Regions from separate parts of the Mus musculus genome. Here all the other regions are reported to be linked to region 1. Evidence: microRNA targets listed by miRTarBase, many of them from high-throughput screens and not tested one by one. Region 1 holds a microRNA gene; each other region holds the end of a gene's coding sequence.

What was found. Region 1 holds the annotated microRNA mmu-miR-136-5p (ACUCCAUUUGUUUUGAUGAUGG, at 1,648-1,669, opposite strand). A microRNA usually pairs through its seed, bases 2 to 8, with sites in the 3' UTR of a target mRNA and lowers its output. Matches are read on the target gene's strand: a 7mer-m8 pairs with bases 2 to 8, a 7mer-A1 pairs with bases 2 to 7 and ends in A, and an 8mer does both.
Region 2: the mRNA of Igfbp2 is a reported target of mmu-miR-136-5p. Seed matches in the 3' UTR shown: 7mer-m8 at 304-310.
Region 3: miRTarBase lists Trim26 as a target of mmu-miR-136-5p. Seed matches in the 3' UTR shown: 7mer-m8 at 3,403-3,409 and 7mer-A1 at 2,588-2,594.
Region 4: the mRNA of Slc35f3 is a reported target of mmu-miR-136-5p. The part of its 3' UTR that is shown has no 7-base or 8-base seed match.
Region 5: the mRNA of Mcmdc2 is a reported target of mmu-miR-136-5p. Seed matches in the 3' UTR shown: 7mer-m8 at 3,457-3,463.
Region 6: miRTarBase lists Ctla2a as a target of mmu-miR-136-5p. Seed matches in the 3' UTR shown: 7mer-m8 at 2,171-2,177.
Region 7: miRTarBase lists Nfib as a target of mmu-miR-136-5p. The part of its 3' UTR that is shown has no 7-base or 8-base seed match.

The regions. Positions count from the first base shown.
Region 1 is chr12:109,592,469-109,596,999 of GRCm38, reverse strand. It overlaps Mir136 (microRNA 136), which reads right to left and starts at 1,673; the gene lies at 1,612-1,673. It overlaps Rtl1 (retrotransposon Gaglike 1), which reads left to right. Exons shown (of 2, transcript NM_184109.2): 2 at 1,512-4,531. The coding sequence starts at 1,597. It overlaps Mir434 (microRNA 434), which reads right to left and starts at 2,494; the gene lies at 2,401-2,494. Mir432 (microRNA 432) reads right to left here and starts at 2,044; the gene lies at 1,970-2,044. It also overlaps Mir3071, 6430411K18Rik and Mir127.
Region 2 is chr1:72,851,907-72,856,437 of GRCm38, forward strand. Igfbp2 (insulin-like growth factor binding protein 2) reads left to right here. Exons shown (of 4, transcript NM_008342.3): 4 at 92-568. The coding sequence ends at 256. Among named protein-coding and RNA genes, the nearest start is that of Igfbp5, 21 kb to the right of the region's middle.
Region 3 is chr17:36,857,090-36,861,620 of GRCm38, reverse strand. Trim26 (tripartite motif-containing 26) reads right to left here. Exons shown (of 10, transcript NM_001025599.3): 10 at 2,223-4,221. The coding sequence ends at 3,539. Trim15 (tripartite motif-containing 15) reads left to right here. Exons shown (of 7, transcript NM_001024134.2): 7 at 39-930. The coding sequence ends at 46. Among named protein-coding and RNA genes, the nearest start is that of Trim15, 7.8 kb to the left of the region's middle.
Region 4 is chr8:126,393,553-126,398,083 of GRCm38, reverse strand. It overlaps Slc35f3 (solute carrier family 35, member F3), which reads right to left. Exons shown (of 8, transcript NM_001363500.1): 8 at 2,127-3,652. The coding sequence ends at 3,417. Among named protein-coding and RNA genes, the nearest start is that of Gm51604, 27 kb to the left of the region's middle.
Region 5 is chr1:9,939,560-9,944,090 of GRCm38, reverse strand. Mcmdc2 (minichromosome maintenance domain containing 2) reads right to left here. Exons shown (of 15, transcript NM_177722.3): 15 at 3,137-3,713. The coding sequence ends at 3,547. It overlaps Snhg6 (small nucleolar RNA host gene 6), which reads left to right. Exons shown (of 4, transcript NR_024067.2): 1 at 1-71; 2 at 1,374-1,481; 3 at 1,700-1,768; 4 at 1,936-2,066. It overlaps Snord87 (small nucleolar RNA, C/D box 87), which reads left to right and starts at 1,548; the gene lies at 1,548-1,621.
Region 6 is chr13:60,932,314-60,935,313 of GRCm38, forward strand. Ctla2a (cytotoxic T lymphocyte-associated protein 2 alpha) reads right to left here. Exons shown (of 5, transcript NM_007796.2): 5 at 1,842-2,715. The coding sequence ends at 2,707. Among named protein-coding and RNA genes, the nearest start is that of Ctla2a, 2.8 kb to the right of the region's middle.
Region 7 is chr4:82,293,177-82,297,707 of GRCm38, reverse strand. Nfib (nuclear factor I/B) reads left to right here. Exons shown (of 12, transcript NM_001113209.2): 12 at 897-4,531. The coding sequence ends at 1,026. Among named protein-coding and RNA genes, the nearest start is that of Nfib, 210 kb to the left of the region's middle.

The DNA.
Region 1 (4,531 bases):
TGATCGAATTTAAGTGTCATGCTAACAAGGAGATGTCTAATTCTGAGAAACTGCAGACCCAAAAGCATCCTGCTGCAAGGTTTGGAGGATGGCCAACGGGAGTTTTACATGAATGACAACATGGGAGATTTCTGTTTATTTGGTTTTGTGTGTGTATGTGTGTGTGTTTCTGTTTTTGGATAGGTCAGCCCAGTGACCTTAAAAAAGAAAATTGAGAAGTAACAGAAGGTGCAGAATTCATAAAGACAATAGCTATATGGCTGAGCTATTGAATAACTAGCTTAATTTGTTTTGCAAACCAATACATCCCTTTAAATTCAATTTCCGTGCACTAAACCCTCCATGGCTAGATTTTCAAAAATTACGGAACAATCAGATTTCAAAGGTCCCATGCCCCCCCTTTCACCCAACTTCATACCTCTGTTAGATATACCCCTGTACCAGACGAAATCAACAGTGACAGAAAAGGGGGGGGGGGCACTTTTGAGAACGAAAACCCTGCTCCTGCCGAAGCAGAGGAGAAACTTGGAAAGATAGCATTTGTGAGACGTGCAGAAATGTTTGCATGAGCAGAATTGAGGCCAGATGTTTAAAGCTGCAGGAGCCCTGCAGACCAGGCAATCCTGGGAGAACAGTTTTTTTGAAAGCCCGGGAAAGGGTGTTTAGAAAGCTCCGACTCAGCTCAGAGCTGGAGAAAACGTGGCTTTGGACAGAGATCAAACCGAACAAGAGAAATGATACTATCCCTCCCCCACCCCCCTCTTATCCTGCATATGCACAAAGTGTGACCTAGGATGAAGCCATGAAAGTGCATGTTTTCAGCACATAGTAGGCATTTTATAAACATTTATGGGGAGCAAAATTAAAACCAAAAGCCATGGCTCTCTCTCACTTATTTCGGCTTGGAGCCTAGAGGAGGAAATAAGAGCTATTTTTGGCTGTTGACCCAACTGGCAGGATAGTGGCCAAGTGCCCAATTTCTCCTCTTTCCCCAGTTTGTGAAATAGCAGGCATCTCCCTGCAGATTCCCGCCTCCAACCAAGCTCACTGGGCTGGCTCTAGACCACCAAGCCTGCCAGCAGCCGCTTTGAGTGGCATTGAGATGTGACCTTTATGACTTTTGGGTGACTACAAATGGGAAGGGAACCTGGCCAGGGCAAAGCGGGCCAGAAGTGTGCCCTGCCAGGTGCTAGCTCGCCACAGAGGACGCTCCAGGCCAGTTGCTCCACAAAATTTATGGGCTGTGAATTTCTCATTCCACTAGAGGAAGTAGGCAGGTGGGGTAGTCAGACTCCGCCTGGAAGGCAGGTCAGGGGGTGACGGTCTTTCCCCTGGAGGTGCCCCAAGTAACCAGAAAAGGAGGCTGAACTGAATGCAGGAGGAATTTCTCCATTTTCTCTCTGATTCTAGTAACTTGGCATCTGCTTTGTCCTTGAGATAGAATCTGACCCTGCCATCTTGAGAACCTAAATTGCTACATTTTCTCCTGTCTTTTATCCCTCTGTCCCTAGGTTTTGGTCTCCACAGTTGCGGTCTCTGACCACACACATCACAATCTTACCAGTCTTCAGAGCACACTCCTTTCCAACCGACGACATGATAGAACCCTCTGAAGACTCATTTGAGACGATGATGGAGCTTAAGAATCCATCATCAAAACAAATGGAGTCCTCCGAGGGCTCATCCAACACCGTTGAAGAGACACCAGGCAGCAGTGGAGCCCAGGCGGGGGCCCAGGCAGGGGCCCAGGCGGAGGCCCAGGCGGAGACCCAGGTGGAGGCCCAGGCGGAGGCTCAGGCTGAAGCCCAGGTTGAGGCCCAGGTTGAGGCCCAGGCGGGCTCAGATAGTGGCCCAGCCCAGGAAGAAAAGGAGCCACCCAGTGGCCCCCTCAAGGAAATGCAAGAGCTGCCCACTAATCTACTCCAAGAAGTGGAGGAGCCATCCAGTGGCCCCCACCAGGAAATGCAAGAGCTGCCCACTGATCTACTCCAAGAAGTGGAGGAGCCATCCAGTGGCCCCCACCAGGAAATGCAAGAGCTACCCACTGATCTACTCCGGGAAGTGGAGGAGCCATCCAGTGGCCCCTACCAGGAAATGCAAGAGCTACCCACTGATCTACTCCGGGAAGTGGAGGAGCCATCCAGTGGCCCCTACCAGGAAATGCAAGAGCTACCCACTGATCTACTCCGGGAAGTGGAGGAGCCATCCAGTGGCCCCTACCAGGAAATGCAAGAGCTACCCACTGATCTACTCCGGGAAGTGGAGGAGCCATCCAGTGGCCCCTACCAGGAAATGCAAGAGCTACCCACTGATCTACTCCGGGAAGTGGAGGAGCCATCCAGCGACCCCTGTGAGGCATCATCTAACGATCTACCCCAAGACATGGAGGAATCAAGTGATGATGGTTCGAACCAGGAGTCGAGTGATGGTTCAAACCACGAATTAAGTAATGGTTCAAACCATGAGTCGAGCTTTGGTTCAAACCCAGAGTCGAGCGATGTTTCCAACCTGGAGTCAAGCGGTGGTTCAAACCAGGAGTCCAGCGATGGTTCACAAAAGGAGTCAAGCTATGATTCAAACCCGGAGTTAAGTGATAATTCAAACCAGGAGTTAAGCGATAATTCGAACCAGGAGTCAAGCGACAGTTCAAACCAGTCAAGTGATATTTCAAACCAGGAAGGGTCGGAACCACTCAGTGAGGCATCCGATTATAGCATGGATGAAACAATCAACTCATCCGAGACCCAGTCAGACCAAGATGATACTGACCTGGGAGATGACGAGGAAGAGGAGGAAGAGGAAGGTGGTGAAGAGGAAGGTCAGCCCAAGAACTCTCCAGAAGAAGTCGTGGCCACCATGGGGAACGTCATCTCGCTGTTCCTCCGGATGCAAGACCTAAAAGAACAACAGAGAGTGGCAGAAAGGCTCATGATGCAGGCTATCAACGAAGGTCGCCTGCCCTCCCTCAGGCCCTTCTCTGGAGATCGCAGAGACTACCATGAGTTTGTCGTGCTCTGCCAGATGACAATGCAGAACTACCCAAGTATGCTATACAATGATGAGCTGCGGGTGAAATTCGTCATCCGCCACCTGACTGACCTAGCCTTGGAATGGGCCAACGACCTCGTAGAGCAGAACAGCCCAGTGATAAACAACTTCTCAGCCTTCCTGGAGGCCATGTCAGAAAAGTTTGAGTATCGGCAGACCCTGCGTGTGGCGGAAGACGCCATGTTCAACATCAGGCAGGGGAACCGCTGTGCGGCCGATTACATCAATGAGTTCCGGGGTCTGATACCCACCTTAGGCTGGCCAGATGAAGTCCTGCAGGCCCACCTGTGCCAGGGGCTCAACGAAGAGATCAGGCACTATCTGTTCCGGATCCCTCAGCCGAATTCCCTAGACAACCTGATTGTACTTGTCCTGCAACTTGAAGAAAAGCTGGCAGAGAGAAGAGCATTACTCAGGCTGCCACCTGAGTCGCGCCCAAGAAGCGTAGCCTGGATGGATGCTCCCGCCCCAGAGAAGTGGAGGGTAAGCAGCTGGCTGCCCAATGAGTTCCACCCAGACATTGATCGCGATCACCTCTTCTTACTGCTCTTGGTGAGAGTGGACCCCTACCACAGTGTCGCAGTGCGGGCCCTGGTGGACTCAGGAGCAGAAGGGAACTACATGGATGAGAGGTTTGCCCAGGAACACTATGTGGAACTCTATGAGAAGCCTTATCCACAGATAATCCAAGGTGTGGATGGCATCCCAATTGGCAATGAACCCGTCTGGCTGTGCACCGAGCCCCTGGTATGTGTCCACCAGAAGCATTATGAGTACATCGAATTTGACATCTTACCTTCGCCCAACTTCTCCATCGTCTTAGGCATGAAGTGGCTCCGAACCCATGCCCCTGAAGTCGACTGGATGAGAGGCCGGTGTACCTTCCACTCTCCCTACTGTCTGCGGAATTGCTTCACCCCACCTCCACCATGCATCGCACTAGAGACATACAGCATAAGCCTACTGCCCGGATTGCCACACACATACTCAGACCTGGCCGACGTGTTTAACCCGAGGGAGGCAGATGATGAGACTTCCGACCAGCCAAGCTCAGACGGATCCGATGATCTTTCTGAATCAGAGCCCTCTGAGCTTCAGCAGGCTGGAGACAGTGATCAAAGCGGCGTCTTTTACGAGTCTGGGGCCCGAGAGACTTTGGAACCTGTGAGCGCCAGGATGCAAGAGAAAGCCAGGCAGCAAGAGAAAGCCAGGGAGCAAGAGGAATACTGGATACTGTATGACATGCTGACTGACAGACAAGACTACACGCAGATGGTACCAGAGCTATTCGACCAGCTACATGGAGCGGCATGGTTCACAAAACTGGAGCTGCTTGGGATTAAGGAAAGTGAGATGAGGCACACGGTCACACACACGGAAGACACTTGGAGAGCATCGTTCGGTTTCGGCCTTCACCAGATGAGATGCTACCGGCCCTTCACAATGAACTCATACTCTGACGAAGGGAACAACATTGTTCACT
Region 2 (4,531 bases), not on the chromosome of region 1:
ACAGGCCCCTGTTCTGCAGAACCCTGCACCTGGGAACTGCATGCATCCAGCATCCAGCATGCATCCATGTTTTCCTCTTTTTACCCTTCAGTGCAAGATGTCTCTGAACGGACAGCGCGGGGAGTGCTGGTGTGTGAACCCCAATACCGGGAAGCCCATCCAGGGAGCTCCCACCATCCGGGGAGACCCCGAGTGCCATCTCTTCTACAACGAGCAGCAGGAGACTGGTGGGGCCCATGCCCAAAGTGTGCAGTAAACCCCAGCCAGTCGGTGCCTGGCTTCCCCATCCCGAACACCAGCAGAAATGGAGGGCGTCAGGGTGACGGGTGTGGAGGAGTTCCCAGTTTTGACACATGTATTTATATTTGGAAAGAGACCAACACTGAGCTCAGAAGCCCCCCTCTGACCCCCCCCAGCGGCTGTTAAGCTGAACCTCCCTTGCTTCTGTTAGAGAGGGGAAGGGTGGTATGGAGGGCACTGGGTACAGGCCTGGGAATGGGGAAAGAAATTTTTATTTTTGAATCCCTGTGTCTCTTTTACTTAAGATTAAAGGAAGGAAAAATAAAAAGTGTGTGTCTTACTTGAGTCTTTGGGGTGTCCCGGGAAAGAGTCTTGGGGGGGGATGGTCTGCTGAGCTCATGCCCACCTTGTCCCTAATACCTGGAATGGCGGGGAAGTCACTGTTTCCATCTTACATGGGGACAAGAAAAAGGCTTCTGAACCCAGATGCCGGCCTGCGGTGGAACCCAGGGCTCTGCTGCACTAAGGAAGGTTTCCACCCCCCTGGACTGACTGAGGAAGATGGGTAGTGAGGACAAGAGTGTGGACACTGGACACTGGACGCACAGTCCACAATCCCAGCTTTTGGGAGGCTGAAGCAGGTAAGACTGAGAGTCTAGTCTAGCCTGGGCTACACAGCATATAAACACCCATACAAAGCAACATCGGTAGAAAGCTTCAGATGATATTGCAGTGGGAGATGGGAAATGGGGAACATTGAAATTGGGACTCTCCTACCCCCTGAAATAAGGAGTTTTCAGGTATCTTAGGGGTTTCCATTGCTGTGAAGAGACACCTTGACCAAAGCAACTCATTTTTTTCTGACATATTTTCTTTTTATTAGGTATTTTCTTTATTTACACTTAATTTTATTTCCTTTCCTCATTTCCCCTCTGGAACTCCCCTATTCCATCCCCCCTCCCACTGCTCACTAAGCCACCCACTCCGGATTCCCTGTTCTGGCATTCCCCTACAGTGGGACCCTTCACAAGACCAAGGGCCTCTCCTCCCATTGATGTCCTCCTACAAGGCCATCCTCTGCTACATATGCGGCTGGAACCATGGGTCCCTCCCTGTGTACTCTTTGGTTGGTGGTTTAGTCCCTGGGAGCTCTGGGAGTACTGGTTGGTTCATATTGTTGTTCCTCCTGTGGGGCTGCAAACCCCTTCAGCTCCAACTTGGGTCCTTTCTCTAGCTCCTCCACTGGAGACCCTATGCTCAGTCCAATGGATGGCTGTGTGTACTCACCTCTGTCAGGCACTGGCAGAGCCTCTCAGGAGACAGCTATATCAGGCTCCTGTCAGCAAGCACATGTTGGCATCCACAATAGTGTCTGGGTTTACTAACTGTATACGGGATGGATTCCCAGATGGGACAGTCACTGGATGGCCTTTCCTTCAGTCTCTGCTTCAAACATGAGCACAGCAACTCTTTTGATTGGGATTTAATTAAATGGAAACATTTCATTGGGATCGACTTACAGTTCAGAGGTTTAGTCTGTTACGGTGGGAAGCATGGTGGCATGCCAATAGGCAGGCAGACTTGGTGCTAGAGAGTTCCTGTGTTCTACATCTGGATTTAGAGTCAGCAGGAAGAGAGTGAGACATCAGGTCTGGCTTGAGCATCTGAGACCTCAAAGTGAACCCCTAGTGACACCCTTCCTCCAACAAAGTCACACCCACTCCAACAAGGCCACTCCTCCTAACAGTGCCACTTCCTATGGGTCCATGAAACCATTTCATTCAAACCACCACCCCAGTCCAGGACAAGGAATTACACTTGAACCCCCAAGGAAAGGCTGGTGACCTTGCTTCTGGGCTGTTCAGAAAGGTCACCCCTGAGCTTTCAGAAGCTGCTCCTGGAGTGGCTTGCGTGACTGGCCCCATATCAACAAATCAGCCAGCTTCAAAGGGGTCTCTGTGGATAAAGAGCATGGGCTGAGACTGGATCATGCTTGTGCACATTTCAGGCAGATGTCTGAGTTCAAGGTCAGCCTGGTTTCCAGAGCAAGTTCTAGGACAGCCAGGGTGACACCTTAGCTCTGTCTCAAAAAAGAACAGAACTTGGACCAAGAGACTGGGAACTGAGTCAGGGTATGGGGGTGGGGGAGCCCTTTTTGAAGCAATGTGTAGCAGGACTCTAACACGATGTTTTGTCTGTACCGGAAGCCCCAGTGAAGCCCAGGGACTGTCCTCACCCTTTGGCTGTGGGCCATGGGGAAGGCAAACCATTTTTCTCCCCAGTGCAAGGCTGAGCTCAACTTCAGTCTGCACCTGAGCCCTCTGGCTGTGGAGGGGCCTCTCTCGCGGGCTGGCTCAGTCCCTTCAGACTCATCATCTAGCACATCCGGAGGTGGTGAGGGACACCTGGGACTTTGGGCGGGTGCCAGGACATTAGATTCTTAGAGAACACCCCCTGTCAGGAAAAGAGCTACTTCAGGGTGGATGGAACAGATACATGAATTCAACTAAGTCCCATGATACAGAAACAGTTACCAGTTTCATTTTACAGGCAGGCAAAGGTTTCCAGAAAGGCCCTATTGCTCAGTATCAAGGTTGCGGCTCATCCCTGGATCAAGCATCCCCATTTGGGAGCATTTTCCCCTGGGCCTAGCGGGGATGGTTTAATCTTCAACGAACAAGGTCATAGCCTGTGGAGGCTGCTGGGAAACACTATCAGAGGGATGTTTCAGGGTCATCCTTGTGCTACTACGGGCCTCAGAGAGCTTCTTCCTAAACATTTTGTGAAAGTCCCTTGATGTTGCCACAACCTGCTCTGCCCATTGCTAGTCCCCTGTTCATTGAAAGAGGGGGCTGGTTGGGTAGGGTTTTAATTGAATGTGTTCCCACATCACTCACTGGAGACCTAGACCTCTGAAGTTTAAGCCTGGCCACTGTTAAACGCTGAGGCCATACTGCCCCCATGTGGCAGCATGTGTAACTGCAGCCAAACTCATTTTGGCTTTTCAATTAGTTAAAGGGAGGCCCAGGAACCTATATTAAGTCAAATGGAGGTGCTCTCTCATAAGGATTCACAAGCTCTCCCATAGATTTCCAGAGTTAGGTGATGTGGAAACAGGGACTGAGAATCTTTATGTATACCTCTTGTAAGATTTCTAGGGAAGGCCAGTGACCTAAGTTGTAAGGCCTGGGACACTATGAGGCCTCTTGTTCTTACTAAGAACTTCAAGGCAGTGATAAGAAAGTTCACCAAAGACAGTACACTAGAGCTCTGAGCTCCAGGTGATGTCATGGGTACGTGTCCACAAGGCTGGCCCTCCTCTGTGCCCTCTGGATTTGCAGACACCCTGCTGTAGCTGTGGCATCTGCTAAGTGTATCTTTGGTACTTCGATGTGCTAGCAACACTGGGAAGACCTTGCTTGTCCCTGACTATAAATTGTATGACTTTGTGCATATTTCTAACTTCTACACACCCTTTAAAACCTCAGCTTTAAGTACTGGGATGATGTCTGTTTGAAAGAACAGCTTGCAGGGTAGAAATTCATTTCTGCCACACAGTAAGTGTTGGTTAAATGTAGTCATGACTACATGCTAAGTAGGGTGATGCAGTGTTTGCATGTGGAGCTGCAAGAGATGACGGCCTCTGTCCTGTAGTGTCTACATTTCCGTGTTGTAAATGATTGACCGTCTCATGGCATGATGTGACAGAGGCATATCCTCCAGCACTGTAGTGTAATGACGAGCAGCCTTGTGGAAGGCACCTTGGAGCGGCAATGGAGAGTTGAGATGAAGAAATAGAGCTTGCGTGTGCACACATCTGTGTATGTTTTCTAAGGGATTGGGTTCAGAAAGAGGAGGCAGCATGTGGAAGGCCTTCAAGCCTGAGCTGCACTCTGAGCCTGGAGGCCTGCACACGGCCGAGGATGGGTGTCATTCCTAGGGCGCAGGCAGCAGAGGGACAGCTGAAGAGGAACGTTGTAGGGAACCTATCGGGAGGGATGTGGTGTGTTGCTGAGGGACTTGAACGTAGGCCAAGGGTGGATAAGACTAGATATGTGTTTGGAAATCAATTGTGGATGAGAGAAGAAGGCATGAGAGGAGAGATGGAGTTGAATCCACCAGGCAGCCCTGAAAATGATCCAAACGAGGAAGAAGGAGGATAGTGAGAGCTTTCAGGGAGTAGCTGACTGCTGGGAGCATTGGATGGAGAGCTAAGTGGGGGAATCCGGACTAATACCTAGGGGTCTGGCGCGGACCGTTGGGTGGATGTGATGACGTCATCGGAGACCAG
Region 3 (4,531 bases), not on the chromosome of region 1:
GCCTAGGGCAGGGGCCAAGATTTTGTGTTTCTTAACAGGCTCCTAGGTACTGTGCTGCTGCTGTTCTGGCCACTTCACTTTAAGAAACAAATCCTCAGACACAGCTGTCACTCCTGTCCTTCAGAAACAGAAGCCTAGGAAGCAGGCAGCCTGGATGGATGCCGCTCCATCCTGAAGCGGGGAAGAGGTGTCACTCTGGACCCACAGACCACAAAGCCAAGTCCAGTCCTCTCTGTGATTGCCACTTGAGTGGCGGCTGCATCATGAGAATGGTCCCCTAAGTGTCCAGGGTGAGGGGATGGCAGGACCTGAGCACCAAGGACATTGTCTGGGCCATAATACTTTTGCTCCAACTGGCCAGCGCCCACCTGCCATGCAAAAGGAGACACAGCTGTCCTGCGCAGTGTAGATGTGACCAGGTGTGGGAGAGACCTTGCAAATGTCCCACACCAAGGCTTCAGTCACCATCTTTTTCTAACCCTATCCCACCTGGAAAGTAAGTTCCTCTGCCTGCCTTTGAAAGACTAAGGTGGAGCCAGGGAAATGCGGCAGACACACCAGCACCCTTGGAACCCAGCTCTGTCCCTAGCATTCAAATGGGAATCTTGTGTAGCAAGTCCTTTCACTCCTGTTCCTGGACACGGTGATCTCTCTGAATGGAGAGCCAGCAGACAGGAAGGCATTGTCCTAGACACCAGCAAAGCTATGAGTCAATGGGATTTGGAAGGGAAGCAAACAAAAAGCTGTAAAAGCTTCAAAATGACCACTGTAGGGTAACCAGGAACCTGTGACTTGTACTAATTTATGACTTTTGGACACGAAGCTGGAGATGCTACAGGGCTTCATCAACAACTCTGGGTGGACCCTAAAGCCCCTTCAGCTCATTTATCTACGTTCTGAGAGGATGTTTTAATAAAATATGTAACCTAAGGGCCTTTGTGTTTTGTGTCTAATCTGTTTATTGTGGCAACTTATAAGGAGGATGGGCAAGATTGTTTCACTGTTTAAGACCTCTGAATGATCAGGTGTTAAAGGACTGGTCCGAAGGGTGGAAATGACTAGAAGGTGGAGTCTTTGGGTCTCTAGCATATGCTCTGGAAGGGGACTGTGGGAGCCTGGTTCATTCTGTCTCCTGGCTGATGGTATGTGTGACTGTGCTCTGTCAAGCATACCTGCCAGGATAGGTTACCATGACAGAAGCTAAAAGCATAGAGACCGATGACGATGGACTGCACCTTCAGAACCATGAGCCTACACAAACCTTTTTCTAGGTTGCCCCAGGTATCTTAAAGTTTTTACCCCTCTTAGGTGTGACAGTATAAGCCTTTAAATCCCACCCAGTGAGTCTGAGGCCAGCCATGTTTACATAGTGAGATCTTGTCCAGTCCTTTAATTGTATGTATGTATGTATGTATGTATGTATGTGCTTCATATGTGCTAGTGCAAGGAGTAGGGATACAGGTAAGGCTCCCAAACCCATCTGTAAAACAGAAACAGGCCACTGAGAACTATCATGAGGCAGAGAGCCCCAAGGGAATTCTGAAAATCAGGACCTTAAGGCAGTAGAACAATTCTGACATTCTGAAGGAAACACAATTTTGAAGAATCCCTTAAGTGTATGAGAGATAAACATTTCCAGATACTGAAGGCTTTAAAAATTCAACTTCCAAACTCACCTCAGAAGTTATTAAATGTGTGACAAAACCACAGTTAAGTTAGGAGAGGAGACACGGGGTCCAGAAATAGGACCAGGGCTTGGGATGCCACCCGGGGGAGTGCTTGCCTAGGATGTGAGAAACCCTGGGTTCAGTCTCCAGCACTGTATAAACCAGGCAGAGGCAGGCAGATCTCTGAGTTCGAGGCCAGCCTTGTCTACAGAGTGAGTTCCAGGACACCCAGGGCTACACAGAGAAACCCTGTCTTGAAAAACAAAACATAACAAAACCAAAACCCCAAAACCATAAAAACAAAAAAACAGGCATAGTGGCACCTACCTGAAATCCCAGACCTTAGAAGGTTGAGACAGGAAGCTTAAGGTCATCTACAGCTACGTGAGAGTTAGGCTAGCGGGGCTACAGGCCTCAGAGGGAAAAGATCCAGAACCCCCAGTTTAATGCCAAAAGGGGATTTAAAAGCTGTCTACAGAGAGACCAATCAATGGCTCAGGTTCAAGTTCACTCCAGTAGGCATCAAGATAAAAATAAGAGACAGCACCAGATGACTGTCTTGAAATTTCTGACCACTGAGAAAAATGTGTAGTTTATTTAGTAATAAAGACACAGGAAATGAAGATGATTAACTCTAGAACAAAGAGTGGTGAGGGAGCCACTGTGTAGGTACTAGTGACTCAGGCAGCATGTGATGCATACGAAGTGTTCAGTCTCGAGACGCTGTGGTGACTCCGAGGCCACCAAGATCCAGTGTCTGGGAACAGTCTGTTCAAGAGCCAAGAGGAGCTAACACTTGCACGGGCAGAAGAAATCTGGAATGTTTAAGGATAAAAAGGGGGGCATCATTTTGGCTAAGCAGGGACTCATGTTCAACTATGGGCACCAGCTGGGTCAGCAGGGCGATACTGCAGGCCCTTTCTCCATAGTAAGACCTAGGACAGAGGCTCTCTAGATTCCTCATGGCCCTCTCTCCCCTTCCCCAGTCCATCTCCTAGGAAAGTGAATCTGGACACTCCATAGTGTCAGCAACGAGGTCTTGACCTCCTGGTCAAGAGCAAGATGTTCGGGTTGTTTTAAAAACTTCCTTCACAAGGACTGCTCTGCAGAGGTAATTTATTGATCACAGTCACTATCTGAGTCATAGTACCTAGATGCTTTCTGAAACACAGATGTCCCTGGGGAGTCCTACCTACTCAGGTCTGGGTTTGAGGCTAGAAACTTTGGTACTCACGCTAGGAGATGATTCTACCAGCACTCCAGGACACAAACTTACACGGCCTTGGAAACTTCTGTGGGTCATGACTACATCCATTCTTGCATCTTTGCATATTTAACTCTTGTGGGGTAAGGAAAAGTGATTTAAGACACCAGGAAAGGTAGGCAACAGAGTGGTTTTGGGCACGGGGTACCTCAACTTCGAGGACAGCAAAAACAGCTTCAGATGTGATGGAAAGTCTACCTGTGGGCACTGGCTAACAACTGAACCAGAAAATGCTGCTGCCAAGGCCCTGCTCAACAAAGAACACAGGGACAAGACAAATGGGTGTGTTCAGGAAAGAGGGAGTCATTTGGTCTTCAGAGCAGGAAACCTCAGAGGAAATGAGAAGCTGAGTAAGATATATGGATAGGGTGACAGTGTTGAGAGACTTTGGCCGTGGCAGTGGGGAGATGGGTGGCAATGGATGTGATGTCCCTCTCTCTCCTCCTCCTAGTGCTCTGGCCAGGAACCTTCCTCCATTATAGTTTTGGGATCCCAGAGAAGGGAAGTTTCCATGGGTGTGGGATCCAGGTAATCTTTCTTCATCTCAGAGTCCTGGACTCTCAGAGAAGTAAAGTTTCTGTAGGGTGACCCAGGCGGGTTCTGGAGTTCAGGGTCTCAGCAGAAGGCGTGCTCCTGGCCACTTGAGCCACAGGAAGGGAACCAGGCGCCGGGTGAAGGTGGTCGTGAAGGTATAGATGAGTTCCTGGGACTCTGCATTGGTGAATGTCACAGTGCCACCTTCATAATCCAGGGCGATGCCCACTCTCCGGGGCCGCAGCACCGGGAACAGCTGGGCCTCTGGGCTCGTGTTGGCCCAGATACCTGAGGGGGAGAGCCGAAGGGCCCACACACCATCTTCTGGTCGCAGGGAGAGGTCCCCTTTCCTCTTCACAGAGTCTTTGGCCACTCCCACCATGCAGCTTTCCTGAACTTCTTCTTCTTCTTCCTCTTCCTCCTCTTCCTCTTCCCCCAGTGATTCGTCTTCTTCATCTGTTTCCCAGTCTTCGTATCCGTCCCCATAGCCAACCTCCTCGTCTTCTTCCTCTTCTTCCCCTTCTTCTTCCTCCTCCCCCTCTTCTTCATCCTCTGACCAGCCTTCTCTCTCCAACTCTACTTCCCAGTATACCTTTCCCCATGTGAAGCCCTTGCTGCCCAACACTCCTGGCTCACAGTCAAACTGCTGGGGGAGCAGACAGTCACTCTGGTATTGGCCAGTATAGGTCACACACTTCCAGTCCTCTGAAAGATGTAGGTATCCACTGGCCGACTGTGGGTCCAGGGTGACGCTTACTATTGGACAAGGGAGGAAGTAACAGTGTCAGTGGTGGGCTGGGAAGGAGTGACTAGTCTCCATAGTATCTGCCTCACTGCGCAGTTCTATATATTCCCGAGCACTCTTTATATCATGGTCTCTGTGAACTGTGTCCCTGAGGTACTTGGTACACACAGCATAGATGATCTCTGGCCTCGGGCTGCCACTGCTGTTTGCTCTCATAAGGTCTCATAAGAAGCACCTTATGGTGTGTGACCTGTGACCTCAAAGGCTCAGCAGTACTGCAGACTACACGGGAGACTGATCTGAAATAATGTAAGGGGGTGG
Region 4 (4,531 bases), not on the chromosome of region 1:
CTAAAGAGCAAGTTTCAGGACAGCCAAGCATATTGAAACCATCACGGGGCGGGGGGGGGGGGGGGCGGGGGGGCTACTGCTTTGTTTTTTGAGAGTGTCTCTAAGATACTCTAGCTGGCCCAGAGCTCACTACATAGAGCAGGCTGGCCTCCAATTTGCAGTGATCCTCCTGCCTCTGCCTCCTAACATTTGGGATTATAGGTGAGCCACACACCTGCTTCCGTTCTGGTTGAATCTGGCCATCCCGAGGATCTCAAAAGTAGAGTCACATGGCACCTGTCTGTTTGTGTCGGGTTTGCTTCATACCACTCAAATGCCTCCCGCTACAGAGGTATTGCAGCAGGCGTGAGCGCTTCCTTATGGAGTTCTAAGGCTGAATAGTTCTCCGCCACAGTATGAGCACACTGGATTTTGTTTATGCATACATACCTAAATCCACTCATTCAAACTTCTGCCTGTGAGCCACCCACCCGTTCCCTTCTACCCTTTGGTTATCATGAATAATGATGCTCTGAGTATAGGTGTGCAGACACCTTGTGGGGTGTTTGCTTCCAACTCTTTTTTTTTTTTTTTTTTGTAATTGAAAATTTTTTCATACAATATATTTTGGTTATGCTTTCCCCCTCCCCAACTGCTTCCAGATCCTCTCCTCACCCAACTTCATGTCCTCTGACTCTTTAAAAAAAAGCAATCAACCCCTCCACCCCCAGAAGAACACAAAATAAAACACCCCAGGAAAACACACACACACAAAATGAAGACTGATCAACTAGACAAAAAAAGGTTTCTAAACAAAAGCAAAATGAGACAAAAAGTTTACAAAATTACCACGGTCTTTGTGTTGGCCAGTTACTGGTGAGCATGGTGCCTGCCCTGAGGCTCAAGGGTATCAGATAGCATCTTAGTGGGGTTGAGAGCCTTTGTCTATGTTCCCCTCTCAACACTAGGACCCGGTCTGACTTTAACTTGGGCAGGCCTTGTACACGCTGCAGGTCTCTGGGTTCACATGTCTGTCAGTCCAGTTTCTTTGGAGACATCCATCATTCCTGGCTCTTAGAATCTTTTCGTCTCCCTTACAGATCCTTGAGTCATGAGGGGAAGGCTTTGATTTAGGACAGAGTGCTCCAGCGTCTCTCCTCTGCATCGGCCAGATGTAGGTCTATGTCAGTTCCCCTCTACTGCACAAAGAAGCTTCTCTGATGGTGGCCTGGGGTGGCCACTGGAGATCCCTGGGCTAGAAGGGAGGTCTGAGAGGGTCAGGAGGAAAGAGCTCCCAATCTTTTGTTATCTTTTTTAAAAAAATGTGTTTGTGGCTATCTTGTCTGTATGCATATATGTGTACCTCAAGTGCTTGGTAACTGTGGAAGCCAGAAAAGGGCATCAGATCCCCTGGAACTGGAGTTACAGACAGTCGTGGGCTGTCCTGTGGATGCTGGGAACCAAACTTGAGTTCTTTGAACGAACAGCCAGTGCTCTCACAGCTGAGCCACCTCTCTCTCTAGTTGTTGTTGTTTGGTTTTTGTTGTTGTTGTTGTTTTAAATCAGTGAGCTGATAGGACAAGATACATTTGCTATAGGGCAGGTATAGGGCTAACTTTATAGAGGGAAATGTTTGCCGGGCTGAGTTTTATGAAGTATTCAGTGGTGGAGGTGGCAGGACACAACCTTGCCACCTGTGTTGCCTTTTGGACTTTCTGGAACAGAGACATGGGTGATGTGACCCCATCTTTAGGAACCCTGCCTTCCAAAGCTCTGCCCAAGACACTTGGGTCTTACAGCTTGTGGCCACAGCTGCCTAGACACAGCTTCACGACCCTCCTGCCTCTTCCCCTTACTGTTACAGGGGTGTGTGTGTGTGTGTATGTGCACGCGTGTGCATTTAGCCATGCTCAGCTGTTTACACGAGTGCAGATGCTTGTACAGCAGGTGTTTTACCACTGACTCATCTCCTGCTGCACCATCCCTTCAGCCCCACAGACTTAGTTTCTATGTCTGTTGCCATAGCAACAACCATCTTCCCTCTGGCAGCTAGGCAGGCTGCACAAGGACCCTTAGTGGGAGGTCACCGGGAGGCACCAAAAGTACACTCAATGCTTTTTTTTTTGTTTGTTTCAAATGTTTTATTAATCTGTTTGGCCAAACAAGTTATGGAAACTGAGAATAATTGGCTAAAAAGTTCAGGTCATGAGTACCCCTTCCCCCCAGGAAACGAAAGACTCCATGGTTCCAGAATGCACCTTTAGGATATGATACCATTTCAAAATCAGGTTCCCATTTATATGTAACAATGTAAACTTCAAAAATAGTAAACTCTAAGCCCAGTCCCTCTGTACAGATCTATCACAGATAGAAGTCTCCGGCAGACCTAAATTGTGTAAGTAAACAGCCCGGCGCTTAAAAGTTTCTTTAAAAGGCTTACAGACTCAGTAAATAATGTTTCAGTCTTGGTCTGGAAGTGAAAGCCACCAGCCGTCCCTCCCACACAGTGCACCTGCTGTGCATGTCACACACCGCCAACCACCCTCCAAATACACTGGCCACTGGCTTTGTCACGTTTAAACACACATATACACATATAGTTTGTGTTTGTTTTTTTTTTTTAAAGATTTCTACATCTAAATTATAAGACGGCGCCAGTGACATATAATGTCACCTCGCTTCACATAGGACAGAGATGCTGTAGAAGGCACTGAGTTCTCCTCATGGTCTTGTGAGACCAGACCAGCTAGGTCGGAGTTCTGTTTTCTATCATGTGACCCAGCACAGGCCTGTCCTCCGTTTATCTTCATGTCATTATCCTTTTCTGCTTTGCCTCTCTTCCTTTCCTTTCCCATCCACCCATCTGTCCATCAACCGTCTATCCACCTATATGTTTATCTATCCATCGATCGATCCATCCATCCATCCATCCATCCATCCACCCACCCATCCATCCATTTATCCATCTATCCATCTACCCATCCAAATTAACTGACAATTATCTTTTGGTTCATTGAGATTCCTTAAAATTAAGTATACAGTTCTGGTATAAAACAAAATATGACCTACTATAGCTGAAAAATAATCACAGTGCACAATGTCACTTTCAATTGCTAAGAGGCAGAGCCTTTGCCCTGGCTTGTCCAGCTTGCCTGTCCTCTGAAGAGACCGACACAAGGCTCATTTTACCTCGCTTTACATTCATTTAAGAAGCGCTGAGAGGTTCTTTTCTCATCTGTTTTGAATCGGTACCCTTAGTGGAAGGTCTGACGTGGAAAAGTGCAAGCAAATTGGACATGCCAATAAATACCGTAGAACTTACTGCAGTTACCAAAACTGTACATGTATGTACACCTCACCCAACTGAGGTTCCTCCATCAGGAATAGACCTCAAAAACATTACCATGGGTGCATCCCAGAGTTCTAGAGGAGTTTTCTCAGCGAGCGAAGGATGGGCGGGCTCTTCTGCTCCTGCTCTGGGGACCCGTGCCCAAGTCCCCGCTGCTCTCTGCTGTCTCCTCCTTCTTCCTCACTTTGAGGCGGGTGAGCAACTTGATCAACCAGACATCCCACTCTTCTGGAAGGAGCAGGAGGAGGAAGCCCAGGCCGATAATGATGATGGCGATGACCCGGACCCCGTTGAAGACTATCTGACTGGTGTAGTGATCGACCACTGTGGGAGACAGAGCACCGGTTACTCAGTCTGTGGACGTGGAGATACGTCTGAGCATCCGACAGGGCAGGCCAGGGCCACCTGAACCTCTCAACACCTGTCTCCTCTGAGGCCTTGGGCTTGGGTGTCGCCATCTGAATCTAATCCAGCACTAAGTAAGTTGGTGACTTGAGTGTGAGAAAAATAAATCAAGGGTAACTGGGAGCACACACATAAAATTAGACATGGTGGGGGTTTAATTCTGGGTGATTTGGGCTTCAGGATGAAGAAAATACTATTTTTATTTATATTTTAGGTACTTTTCACAGTATCTGTGATGTCATACATGACATTTATTTTATAATTTAATCTCACTACATGTGTATGTGTTTTGATAAACAAACCTGACCCAGTTCTTTTAGGATACTATTTGTGAGTTTTCTTTTTAAAAGCTTCGTTTATGTATTTTAATTTGTTTGTTTGCTTGCTTAGCGTGTATGCATATGATCTTGTGAGTATCAGGGGCACAGTGTGGTCAAAGGACAACTTTTGGGAGTCATTTCTCTCCTTCCACCTTGCAGATCCCAGTAATTTAACCTGGGTTACCAGGCATGGTGGCAAGAGTCTTTACCCAGCCATCTCTCCCCCCACTTTGTTTTTGCTTCTTGAGTCTCACGTAGCGTAGCCCTGGCTATCCTTGAACTCACTAAGTAGCTGCGGATGGCTTTGAAGCCATTGCCTCCCAAGAGCTGAGGTTACCCGTGTGTGCCAGCATACTCAGCTGTAATGGAGAGTTCTTGTTATCCATGCCCATCGATTGCGGTGAGGCTCTAAGCCTCAGGTGATGCCCCTTTCCCAAGGGCTTCACTAAAGACACTTGACCTGTCCTGATGAACAGTC
Region 5 (4,531 bases), not on the chromosome of region 1:
CAGACGGTGCAGCATGGCGCACAGCGGAGGCCGCGGGCGGCCGAACCCGGCGTGTCCTTGGGCGTTTCCAGGTGCGAATCCTGCGGTCTGCTTAACCCCGTGTGTGCGGAGAGGGCTTCCTTGTTGGCGGCGTCCGTCTCTAGCCGGGTACGGGGGCCCCATGGCTCCCGGGTTCGGTGTGGCCCTTGGCCCGCTGTGAGCGGCGGGGCGCGTTCCCAATGGTCTCCAAATCTTAACCGAGATTAGTTATAAGGCCTGCTCCTCTGGACGCTTCGAAGTGCGGGCACAAGCGGCCGCTTCTGGCGGCAGCTTTCATCTGGGCCTGCACCCTGGCGGGAGCCCCTTTGTATCCCCAAGAAAAGCCACCATGCGGTCTGTTTCAGGCTTCCTAAGTGAGTAATCCATAGGAAATTTTACAGAGGCGGAAAAGTACTGCTTCTAAGATGTTAAGACCGCCAATTTTAGGCTTTTTTTTTTTTTTGGCTTTTTTTTTTTTTAAAGATTAATAGTTTGATCTGAAGTATTGGCATCACTCTAAAAAGCTTGTATTCATGGATCAACCCTGTAAGTACGATCTAAAGTTGGAGCAAAATTTTCAAACTATTTGAAAGCCACGCAGGGTGGGGATGCTGGCAAAAGAAGGTGGTGGTAAGTTCTGAAGCGTGTGGATACAAAAGAACACTACATTTCAGGCCTGCATGTTATACTTTACTGTTGGTATCTGTAAGCCAAATTGGGTACTCTGGATTTCTGTAAACTCAGCGTTTCAAATATGAAAATGATTAAGGATTTCTCATCGGTTTGCAGGTGATAAGTCATCACCAGTAATCGGTTCAATCATTCATTCTCTGATTTGTGACTCTGGCCATGCCGTTTCCTGTTCTAATGTCCCAGTGATGGTCTGCACAATTGCATATATGCCTCAAGCTTTTCCGTGCAAGCACCAAGACTGAGAAGCCAAGGCTTGGTACTCAGTCCTTTAAGTTAGTACTGGCAGTGAAGGGCGTGAGTAAAATGTTTTTCTGTCTGTGATGGACGGATGATGGGACAGGAACTGAAGCACCACAGGAACCTGGAGTTAGCGGATGCCGAAGCCATGGAGGATGCTATTAGCTTACGCTTTGGTTCTTAGAGAACACAGGGCCTCCAGCCCAGGGGAGGTGGCTGCCCCCTTACCCCAGTCACTGATTATGAAAATGCCTTACAGGCGTGCTTGTCCACAGCCCTATCTTAAGGATGCATTTTTACAATTGTAGCTTCCTACACCAGTGATTAGCTTGTGTCAAGGTGACATAAAAGTAGCCAGTGCACACTCATGCAAGGTATTAAAACATGGAAGTAAAATGAGAGTTCACAAATATTTTAATTTTTAGGTGCAACAAAACCTGCTCATTTGAAGGTGCTTGAACAAATATTTTCTAAACACTTGTCATGGAGAGTGATTGAAACAAGCTGCCAGGACTACATTTGCCAATAACAAGGTACAAATTGTGTGTGTGGTTTTTTTTTTTCTTTGAGGTTTGATTAACAGGGCCTTAATAGCTGGCACAATGATGACTTAAGTTTTTGCCGTTTACCCAGCTGAGTGTTTCTTTGAAGAGAGAATCTTAAAAGACTGAGATGCCAGCAGTATATAGATGATGCAAATGACTAACATGTGACGCCATTGTTAAAATGGGTTACTGTTTGTTCTCCCCAGCATGTAGGTGGCTGTAGTGGATGTCCAACTTTGGGAGCTGTGATGTCTAAAAACCCTTTATTGTTTTGGGTAAGTTTGCTTAATCAGTCATGTATCTGGATTCAATACTGTTTGATAACACTGAGGGGCTGGGGCCAGTTCGTTTTGAAGATCATTAGGGTGAACACCTGGGCCTAGTTTGAGATGGAAGAAAAATGATTTGGGGTTTCTGACTTTTTTTTTTTCCTTTTGGGAAGGTGCAGCTTACATATTGGAAGGTAAAATGAAGGCCATGAACAAAGTCAAGAAGCCATAAACAGAAGCAAATGGTGAAAATTAATATCTAATTTAATATTAATAAGTTATATATAAATAAACAGTTATTCTTAATTGCTGTGGGCAGTAATTTCTTTAAAATGTCATTCTCGTAGTAAAATAAACTCGTCTTTCATGAGCTGCGGACTTTTTGTCAATGCAATCCTGATGGCTGGCTAGTAAGTAGCCAGTAATGCACAGCAGGAAAGAAAGTGATTGGCAATCTGTCTAGGATCACTTGAAACTCTCAAACTGGATTTCCTCGAGTGAAGACTTGGCTAAATCTTTAACCAATAGAATCCCTAAGTTTAGTAAGTAGCTTAAAAATTCAACATTCTGATGACTTGGGCCTTTGTAAGGGCTGGGGAAGTTTAACTGGCTTAACAAGGCACAAAGCTCTGGATTTGATTCCCAGGATAGAAATTTCGAACATTAGGCTTTCCAGGTGTGTTGGCTGTTTAGATAAGAATTGTTTTGTTTTTACCCTAGAGACCTAGACTTAACCACATCATATGAAAAGGCACAAGGCAAGTCTTGTTTGTATGTACTATATCATTAACTTGCTGTTCAGATCAAGTACCAAAATACAAGGTGCTGTGGGACCCTGTAGTACCTACCACCTCCTGGCAGGAAGACGACTTGACCCCAGGAATGTTGTCTTTAGTGTCACTTTGGTTGTATCCAGCAGAAGGCATATATAAGATTTTCACAGCTTTCCTTAACTCTCCACATTTAGCTTTATAAAGCTATATGCCCATAATGCACATGTTAAATAAAGAAAAGCCTTACATAGGCACTTTGGGTCATTAAGTTGCACTGACTTGAACTCATCACTGGTAATTAATGAGCTCAAGCTGGGTATGTTGGTAGGTAAAGTGTTGCTACCTGATGGGTGGAATGAACAAAACCTTTTTCACACTACAATGTTCTCTACTGTGTGTGTGTCCATGATATATATACTGGAGTTTTTGATGTCAAGCTCCTTGGTAACATAATTTCTGTTCTTGGTTTAGATGTTGGGTTAGTTGCAAATTTGTAATTATGAAGGGGCCACATTTCATACTCTAAATGACATTCTAACAAATAACCTTGAGATGATACATAGTCTGAACCATTACTCTGAAATCATACATTTACCAAGGCTTATGGGGCATGAAAGGTAATTTTTCCTTTTTTTTTATTAGGTACTTTCTTCATTTACATTTCCAAAGCTATCCCAAAAGTCCCCCATGCCCTCTCCCCCTTCCCCCCTCCCACTTCTTGGCCCTGGCGTTCCCCTGTACTGAGGCATATAAAGTTTACAAGACCAATGGGCCTCTCTTTCCACTGATGGCCAACTAGGCCATCTTCTGCTACATATGCAGCCAGAGACACGAGCTCCTGGGGGTACTGGTTAGTTCATATTGTTGTTCCACCTATAGGGTTGCAGACCCCTTCAGCTCCTTGGGTACTTTCTCTAGCTCCTCCATTGGGGGCCCTGTGTTCCATCCTATAGCTGACTGTGAACATCCACTTCTGTGTTTGCTAGGCCCGAAAGGTAATTCTTAAATTGCTTATTCATCACTAGAAAAGACAGTTGTCCCAGGTCCACATGTGGCAATAAACTGTTGGAGCTGCTGTTGGCACTGAGTCAGGTAGAGATCTCTTTGCTCTAAATATTCTTCATTATACAGCTCAAATGGAAATAATGCATTGGGAGCAACACAAAATGGAGTGGCCCCTAAATGAAGAACAAAATAGTGTAAATGAGACTTTAAAAATGGAGGTATGTTTCAACAAAATGAGGATTTAAAAGTTAACTACTGAATATTGAGTTTCATCATAGTTTTATTTTGAGTAGTCTTGGCTGGCTTGTGTCTACCTCTGAGCACTGATTATCACATGTAGCTGATTTAAACATTTTAAAATATAAAATGGTCTTTAGTATGTGTTCCCCAACCAGGTTCTAGAGCCCTCTCTCAGGCCCATTCCTCTATACATGTTCTGTATTACGGAATCCTCACCTCTGATCGTTCTCCCCACACTCAGGACCAGGCTGCCCTCCACTACAAGCCTGTGCCATCAGTGTTGACTGTATACTATCATTAGTTTATTGTGTATCATAAATACTTTAGTATTTACATTTGAGAAAACCATCCCTCCCTGGATCTCATCCCCCAGCTACTGCCCTTTTTTCCTCATCAAAGTTCAGTTGTCTGGGCTGTTTCCATAGCCACACCTATCCAATCCTCATTTCTACTCTAGCTCCACACAGGTCTGATCGTGGGCACTACAAAACTCTGGCTTAACAGATGGAATTGTAATCTCCATAGCATGTGTCCAGTGTTCACTCACTTTGGAAACCCTTTCTTTGCTTGTGGAACACCATACCTTTCTTCTATATACTGGTTTCTGCTTGTTAGCTTTTTCTTTTTTCCATCCCATTTCTAAACATGAATTCTTCAAAGACAGTTATATAGAATTCTCTATATTTTAGGTGGTTTCATCCTTCATCCACTTGACTTAAAATACCATCTCTGTTCTAATTCTTATATTTCC
Region 6 (3,000 bases), not on the chromosome of region 1:
ATGTATTTGTTCAATACTTTTCTGGCATGCAACTGGCACCACGAGGAAAGCAGTGTTGACTGACCTGTAAACAGCTTTGGGGAGCTAGCAAGAACAGGTGTGCAAAGAATTCAGTTCTGTATTCTTTGCCAGAAACGTGTATTCTGTGTAAAGGAGGACAATCCTTGATAACATTCTATCCCAGAGAGGATCTGTAGCAAATATACTGATGTGACTCACTATTGTTTAATTTTACAGGTAGTCACAGTTAATCATCTAAGCAAAAGAATGAGCTCAGGAGGTTTGAACACTTCTGGGAATATGATGACTTTTAAGGTTTGTACTGAAGCAATATGCAGCAAGAGATGGCTGTGTACTATTTTGCATGACTGGGCTCTGTTGGGTTGTGAAAGGGTCACTGGAACATAGACTACACTCCAGTGACTACATCATCCTGTAAATGGATCCTATGTGGTCACAGTATTTGGTACAGAACTGTGGTATGTCCATAGAAAACGATTTTCATGGCTGAGGAACAGGGCAGAGGGGCAGTAAGAGACACCTCTGCACTAATCTTCTTTCCAGTTGCCAGTTATACTTTGTGAATTCATGGGAATTAGCAATTGGGAATCCGAAAAAATTCAATATAGGCTTTCAAATCATTGATAAAAGTAGGCACTAACATCCTGGAACAAGTCCAACCATCCACACCAACTCCAGCAGAATCTGTGTGACGAGATTTACAGACTGAGGTGAATACTTCAAACGAAGGAGGCCTTCTGGAACTGGTTGTGGAACTCTTGCCTGGCACAAAATATTGATCTGTAGTTGTCATGGCAATTTATCTCTTTTGTTATCTCTTACTCTTTTTCTTATTTATCACATGTTCCTGGTAGCCTGGGCTACAATCTTAGGTGAGAATAATGGGTAAGGCACCATCCCTTGAGATGGGGGTCACTAACATGACTTTATCTCTGGGAAAACCAATGCTTTACTTCATAAATCATTTACAAAATTATATCATAGTATTATGATAGATAAAAACTTTCCAAACAATAAAATTTCATATGGCTACATGTGTGTCATTGGAAGTAGGCTTTGGTATATGGATAAGAAAGCCTTAAATAAAAAGAATAAAAATAGTTTAAATTTATGCATTGAAGATTTATAAAAAAACCCAGGCATTAGATGTTAAAAATAATTGTTCATAAAGATTTATTAACCTACTCTTGGAAATATGCCACTAGCCTTTGATGACCGCTCCACTGAATATGTCCTTTCAGAGTGGTAACATTAGGATGATTTCTATTAATAATGATGTTACTTGTTCTGTTTATGATTCACTGAATACATCTTTTCAGAGTTGTAATGCTTGCTTGATTTTTGTGCTTTACTGTTCCAAATAACAATGGTATTTGTGATTGCTTCATTGAACATATCTTCTAAGAGTTTTAATATATATATTTTTTTAATGTATAAAACCCCCTGCTTGAGAGCTGCAAAATACACTCAGATTCAAACTGCCTCTGTGTTTGTTTCTGGTTTTCACTGCCGAATCCTGACCCACCTAGCTTTGAGGACCCTCATTCAAGGGAGCCCCATACCCAACTGGGGTGGTTAATGGCATCAACAAAAAAAGGAAACCTGACTCCCATAATGAGAGAACCATGCATTCTTTCTGTTAGAACACCATGCCTTATACCCGTGTTTATACACATAAAAACTTACTGAAGCAAAATGGGAAAGAAGCAGAATACTAATTTAATATCTAGCTTTAATTTTAAGGCGTCATGGTATATATTCATTTTACTAAAGTGAAAATTAAAGATTGTTATGAGAATCATTTAAACAATTTAGGGCTTGGGCAAAAACTGGTAGTTTATTTATTTATTTTTAAATTAGGTATTTTCTTCATTTACATTACAAATGCTATCCCAAAAGTTCCCCAGGCCCTCCCCCGCGACTCCCCTACCCACCCAGTCCCACTTCTTGGCCCTGGCATCCCCCTGTACTGAGGCATATAAAGTTTGTAAGACCAAGGGACCTCTCTTCTCAATGATGGCCGACTAGGCCATCTTCTGATAGATATGCAGCTAGAGACATGAGCTCCGGGGGTACTGGTTAGTTCATATTGTTGTTCCACCTATAGGGTTGCAGACCCCTTTAGCTCCTTGGGTACTTTCTCTAGCTCCTCCATTGGGGGCCCTGTGTTCCATCCAATACCTAACTGTGAGCATCCACTTCTGTGTTTGCCAGGCCAAAGAACTCACATGATATGTACTCACTGATAAGAGGATATTAGCCCAGAAACTTAGACTACCCAAGATACAAGATACAATTTGCAAAACATATGAAACTCAAGAAGAACGAAGAACAAAATGTGAACACTATGCCCCTTCTTAGAATTGGGAACAAAACATCCATGGAAGGAGTTTCAGAGACAAAGTTTGGAGCTGAGACGAAAGGATGGACCATCTAGAGACTGCCAAAACTAGTAGTTTTATTGCATGAATGTGCCTCAGAGTTTACACCACAGTGTTAATCTTACATGAATTCAATGTTACACTACACAAAGCAGGTGCTGGAAGCTGTGATGGGATGCCTCCTGCTGTTGAGCCTCTCCAGCATCATTCCTCTCATACCAGGAGACAGAAGACTTCCAAGGCAATGGCAGAGTGCTTGCTTCACTTCTAGCCTATGCTATTGTTACCAGTCAAGCCACAGCTGTTACTCTGGCTGGAATAAAAGCACACATCACATTAATTAGAACGGCTGCAGCACAGTGGCTTTGTCACAATACTACCCTGACATATATTGCCTTCATGTTCACCATGTTCAATGCCAAAATACAGTATATCAATCATGAAGAAAAGGTTGTCAGCCACAACACAGTAAAAACTCTCCTCACATTTCAAAGAGCTGAACACTTAGTCAAACAGTGAACTGCATGTTGTTTCACACCTGAAGCAAGTGAGGACTTCAGTTCCTTCTCAGCTTTCTGTGGGCAGCTGAGGGTGGGAG
Region 7 (4,531 bases), not on the chromosome of region 1:
CTGGGAATGCCCAGGCCCCTGTTGCCATCCAATTGAGGAAAAAAAATGAATTGAAAGGAAATCTTTGGTTCTATCTAAGGAAATTATAGAGGAGAGCAGGAAACCGCCAGAGAACCCAGCAGCCCCCGAGCTGCACCCTCCACAGTGGGCTTTTGTACAGAATGCAACCAGCTGGGCTCTGTGTGGTCGAGGATAGACATCCACTTGGTTGTCTAAAACTCTTCAGTTATGTGTGATCATTAGGTATTTCACTATATATTGCACATGCCTGAAACTCTATTATTTTCTCACGTGAGAGAAAAGAATATGTAGTTCATTACATTTTCAAATGTATGTAACCCAACAGGTCGATAAACCCACCTCACCCAGAATGTCTTATGAATTAAAGATTAAACACAACTAATGTATCTAGCAAACTACAGTAGTCTAGTATGGCTACAAATTTATGCTTTTCGTCTTTTTTGTTTGAACAATGAAAATCATATTGCATACAGTGCATTGAAATGGGCCAGATATTTAAAAAAGAGTCTCCTTAATTAACTAGAGTTCAGCAATTATATATAGTGAATATAGTTCATTTTGTGTTTTTCTGCATAGTAGTTAGGTCTTTTCATGGAAGCAAGAGATCATATAGATTACACCTGTATGATGTGTATAATCTAGAAGTTATCACATGTATGTACATATATATGTATATAAGCATAATATATATAATATAGCAAAGTCAATGCATGCTATTAATTATTAAATTTTATTAAAATTTTGGTTTAAAAAGTTAAAAATATAATAGTTGTAATTTAATGCATTTTGAATTTATATTTATGATATGGCTGGAGATTTTAACATTGTCTTATTTTTTCTTTCTTTCTTTTTTTCTTCCCGTCTCCTCTCAACAGTCCTGGTACCTGGGCTAGCTTGGTTCCTTTTCAAGTGTCAAATAGGACACCCATCTTACCGGCAAATGTCCAAAATTATGGTTTGAACATAATTGGAGAGCCTTTCCTTCAAGCGGAGACAAGCAACTGAGGGGAAAGAACCACAACCATAGTATAAGAAAATTAGGGGAAAAACACCCAACAAAGGAAAAGAGGAAGACTGGACAACAGGGAGAAAGGAGAGAAACTGAAGAAAGAAGACGGTAGACCAGCATTGCAGCACTTACAGTCACTAATTCCCTTAAGGTTGAGACTATAGTGACAGGAAAGGGTCAATGACATCTCACTGATGCTAGACTGCAGCCCCTGCACCGTAGCCTTTGTTACATGAAGTCCGCTGGGAAATAGATGTTCTGTCTCTATGACAATATATTTTAACTGACTTTCTAGATGCCTTAATATTTGCATGATAAGCTAGTTTTCTTGGTTAGTATTCTTGTTGTTTACGCATGGAGTCACTATTCCTGGTTATCTCAACAACGAAGGCTAGGAGGCGGCGTCAGAGGTGCTGGGGACAGAGCCATGAGCCAGCCATTTTATAAGCACTCTGATTTCTAAAAGTTAAAATTATATATATATATATATATATATATAAAAGAATCTCTGTAGCCTTTAGTTATCCGTACAGATTTATTAAATTTTGGCCCTTAACCCAGCCTTTTCCAGTGTGTAACCCAGTTTGAAATCTTAAAAAGGAAAAAAAAAAAAAAAGAGAAAAAAGAAAAATAGGGAAAAAAAAAACAGTTTGAACTCAAAGGCTCTATGGAAGAAATGCCTCTATGTGGGTAAAGGGTTACCTCTGCATGCAACAGTAAAAAGTAATATAATGTTTTCCCCACAAAAGAAACACTTAACAGAGGCAAGTGCAATTTATAAATTTATATCTAAAGGGGAATCATGATTATAAGTCCTTCAGCCCTTGGACTCTAAATTGAGGGGATTAAAAAGAATTTAAAATAATTTTGAGCGAATTTATTTTCCCCTCAGTTTTTGAGGGCATTTAAAATAAGGCATTAAATCAAGACAAATCATGTGCTTGAACAGAAAAAAAATAAAAAATAAAAAAAATATTGAAAACACAGCACTTAGGTTGGCTTAGCTGCAGCCTCCTCAGAGGTCAGATTATTTATTTAAAATTACTGGTTGCATCAAGAACCCATAGGGTGTACAAACGGTTCTATACAATCTGCATCGTAGAGACAAAGAGGCAGGGAAATCCATGTCACAAGGGTAAAGCTCCCCGTGTACAGGCTGGGAATGCCAGGTAGGCTAGGAAAACCCGCTCGCTCTTCAGAGAAGTGCCATCAGGGTGCTGGGAACATGCATGGTGCTTTCGGACATTAGCCTTGTTCAACACATTTCTCGTATTGACAGATCTATAGTGTGCATGGGCAGACACATGCTGCCTCTGTGTCTCTTAAAATTTTAATTAAAAGTACTCTTTCCAGTAATCCTAATTTGCACGAAGATATAATGTCCACATTACGTGCCTTGCCTTGAAATCTAAAAAAAAAAAACAAAAGACAAAAAAAAACCACAAAAGTGACATCACTACACTTGTTTTGCTGCATTTATTATCGTTTTAAATCTTTACCATTTTTATGACAAAATATTTTGTACTCCAGACGAAGAAAAATGTGTGACATCATGGATTTTTTAGACAGTTACACCTTTATCTCACATTTATAAAGCATATCATGGCTGTGTATAGTTGCCGCTTAAAAATTGTAATCGACCAGCAATATTTTCAGTATTTTTGGTGTTTTTTCTATTAACCTTTCATGTTTTTCATCTTCCAATTAATATTTGGGGGGGAGGGGTTTCAAATTTATACGAATTATGCAATACCAAGTTTTGCCTATGTAGGTAGTGCTTTTAGCTGTATTGGTTATTATAGGTAAGTACACAGATTTAAAAAAGAAATAATGTATGCTTTTTTTGTTTGTTTGTTTATTTGTTTGTTTGTTTTAATTGACCAAAGTGGGTACTGCTATTTTTGCAGTGTGATGAGGTCCTTTTGTGTACTGAGAGATGGACAGGGGATTTTTTTTAATATACATATATAAATATATATATATTCAGGGGTGGGTGGGAGGATTTTTAACCCTTTACAGTGTAGCAGTGAAGCACTGCACCCTGAGATGGGCCTGGGCTGCAAAGCAACTGTTCTGCCTACTGTGACAAACTTCAACTTAAACAGGTTTCCCTCCCTCCACCCCTCCCCGTACTTTCCCACCTGGAGTGCAAGCTGAACTCCTTTCTGGTTTCCAAGCTAAGAAACCAGGAAGAAAAAGCAAGCACAGCAAAAGCCTCCTAGAGGCCAACTTAGAGGAACTGCCCTGTCTTATTTTAGTTGTTATTGATAGTTTTTTGTTTCTTTTTTTTTTTTTTTCCTGAAAGTTCCTGAAACCACAGTGGAAAGTGAGCCTGTCTCATATTTGGCAAAGACATTTCTTGAAGTGCCCACATAGCAGATGTTGGCTGTTTCACACTTTTGAGTTTAACACAGGAATAAGCTTTCTTCTACCAAACACATTCCCCCATCTGGAGGGAGAGCTCCCCTAGTCCCTCCCCGCCCTCTGTCATTTTGTTAATGACAGGATAGGCTGCTCCTGTGACTTACTACTTCAAAATGAATGGTGTTGCACCTAGGATCTTCTTCTTTGACATCCAGAAGGTTGACTAGAGAGAGGGTTGCTCTTCTTGGATGTATTTGGACTGATAGAGTAAAATCAAAGTTCAGTTTTTAAGGAACAAGAATAAATCAATCCTCTTATTTTACCTGCCCTTGTAAACTGGAAAGTGGAGCAGAGGGAAATATAGAATTTTAAGCAACCAATTTTTCTGTGGATGAATTAAGTGTGTTTGATAATGATGGTGGGGGTTGATTTGAACGGGTGGTACTTCAAGTATATATTTGAGTTAATTTCCCCTGAGGACTACAGGTGAATAGAGACCAATTTTATTTTGTCTTTTCCCCATCCCCCACCTGGTCCTATTGAGTGTATCCATTGCTCCAAGGAGATCTTTAGGAATTAGTGACATACGCAGTCGGCTGTAAAGAAGCTCTCTTGACCCCACCCCCAGCCCCACCCCAGGCCCTGCCCTAGTAAATAAACTGTCAAGTGTATGCATAGCAGATCATTTAATAGTGAGTTCATGAGAACGATGCTCAGAAGCCCGGGAATTAAATCTGACTAGTCCATTCATGACCACATGCTGGTTAGCACAGTGGGATTCTAGGATGCAGGTTCTAAGAAAGGCCAGCCTTGTCTGTTACTTGCTTTGCAGATAACACATCCTCTCAGCCAAGCTCATAGTGTCTTTCTGACCTATTTGCTGAAGAGTGCAACCCTACAGGACACAGTATTCTTTCCAGGCAGTCCCCTCTCCTTGTCACCCGTGAATGAACAATTGTTGCTAAAGTACATGGCACACTGTGGGCATCCCTGCCTGCCTCTTGGGTACAGAGGCCTAGGGCAACTGTTCCTTTTTTTTTTTTTTTTTTAACCTAGTTCAATGTTTCTTCTTTTCTTTGAGATAAACTTATTAAAAAAGCACTACTATAGAAAATCTCGAATCCACGTTTAGCCTTC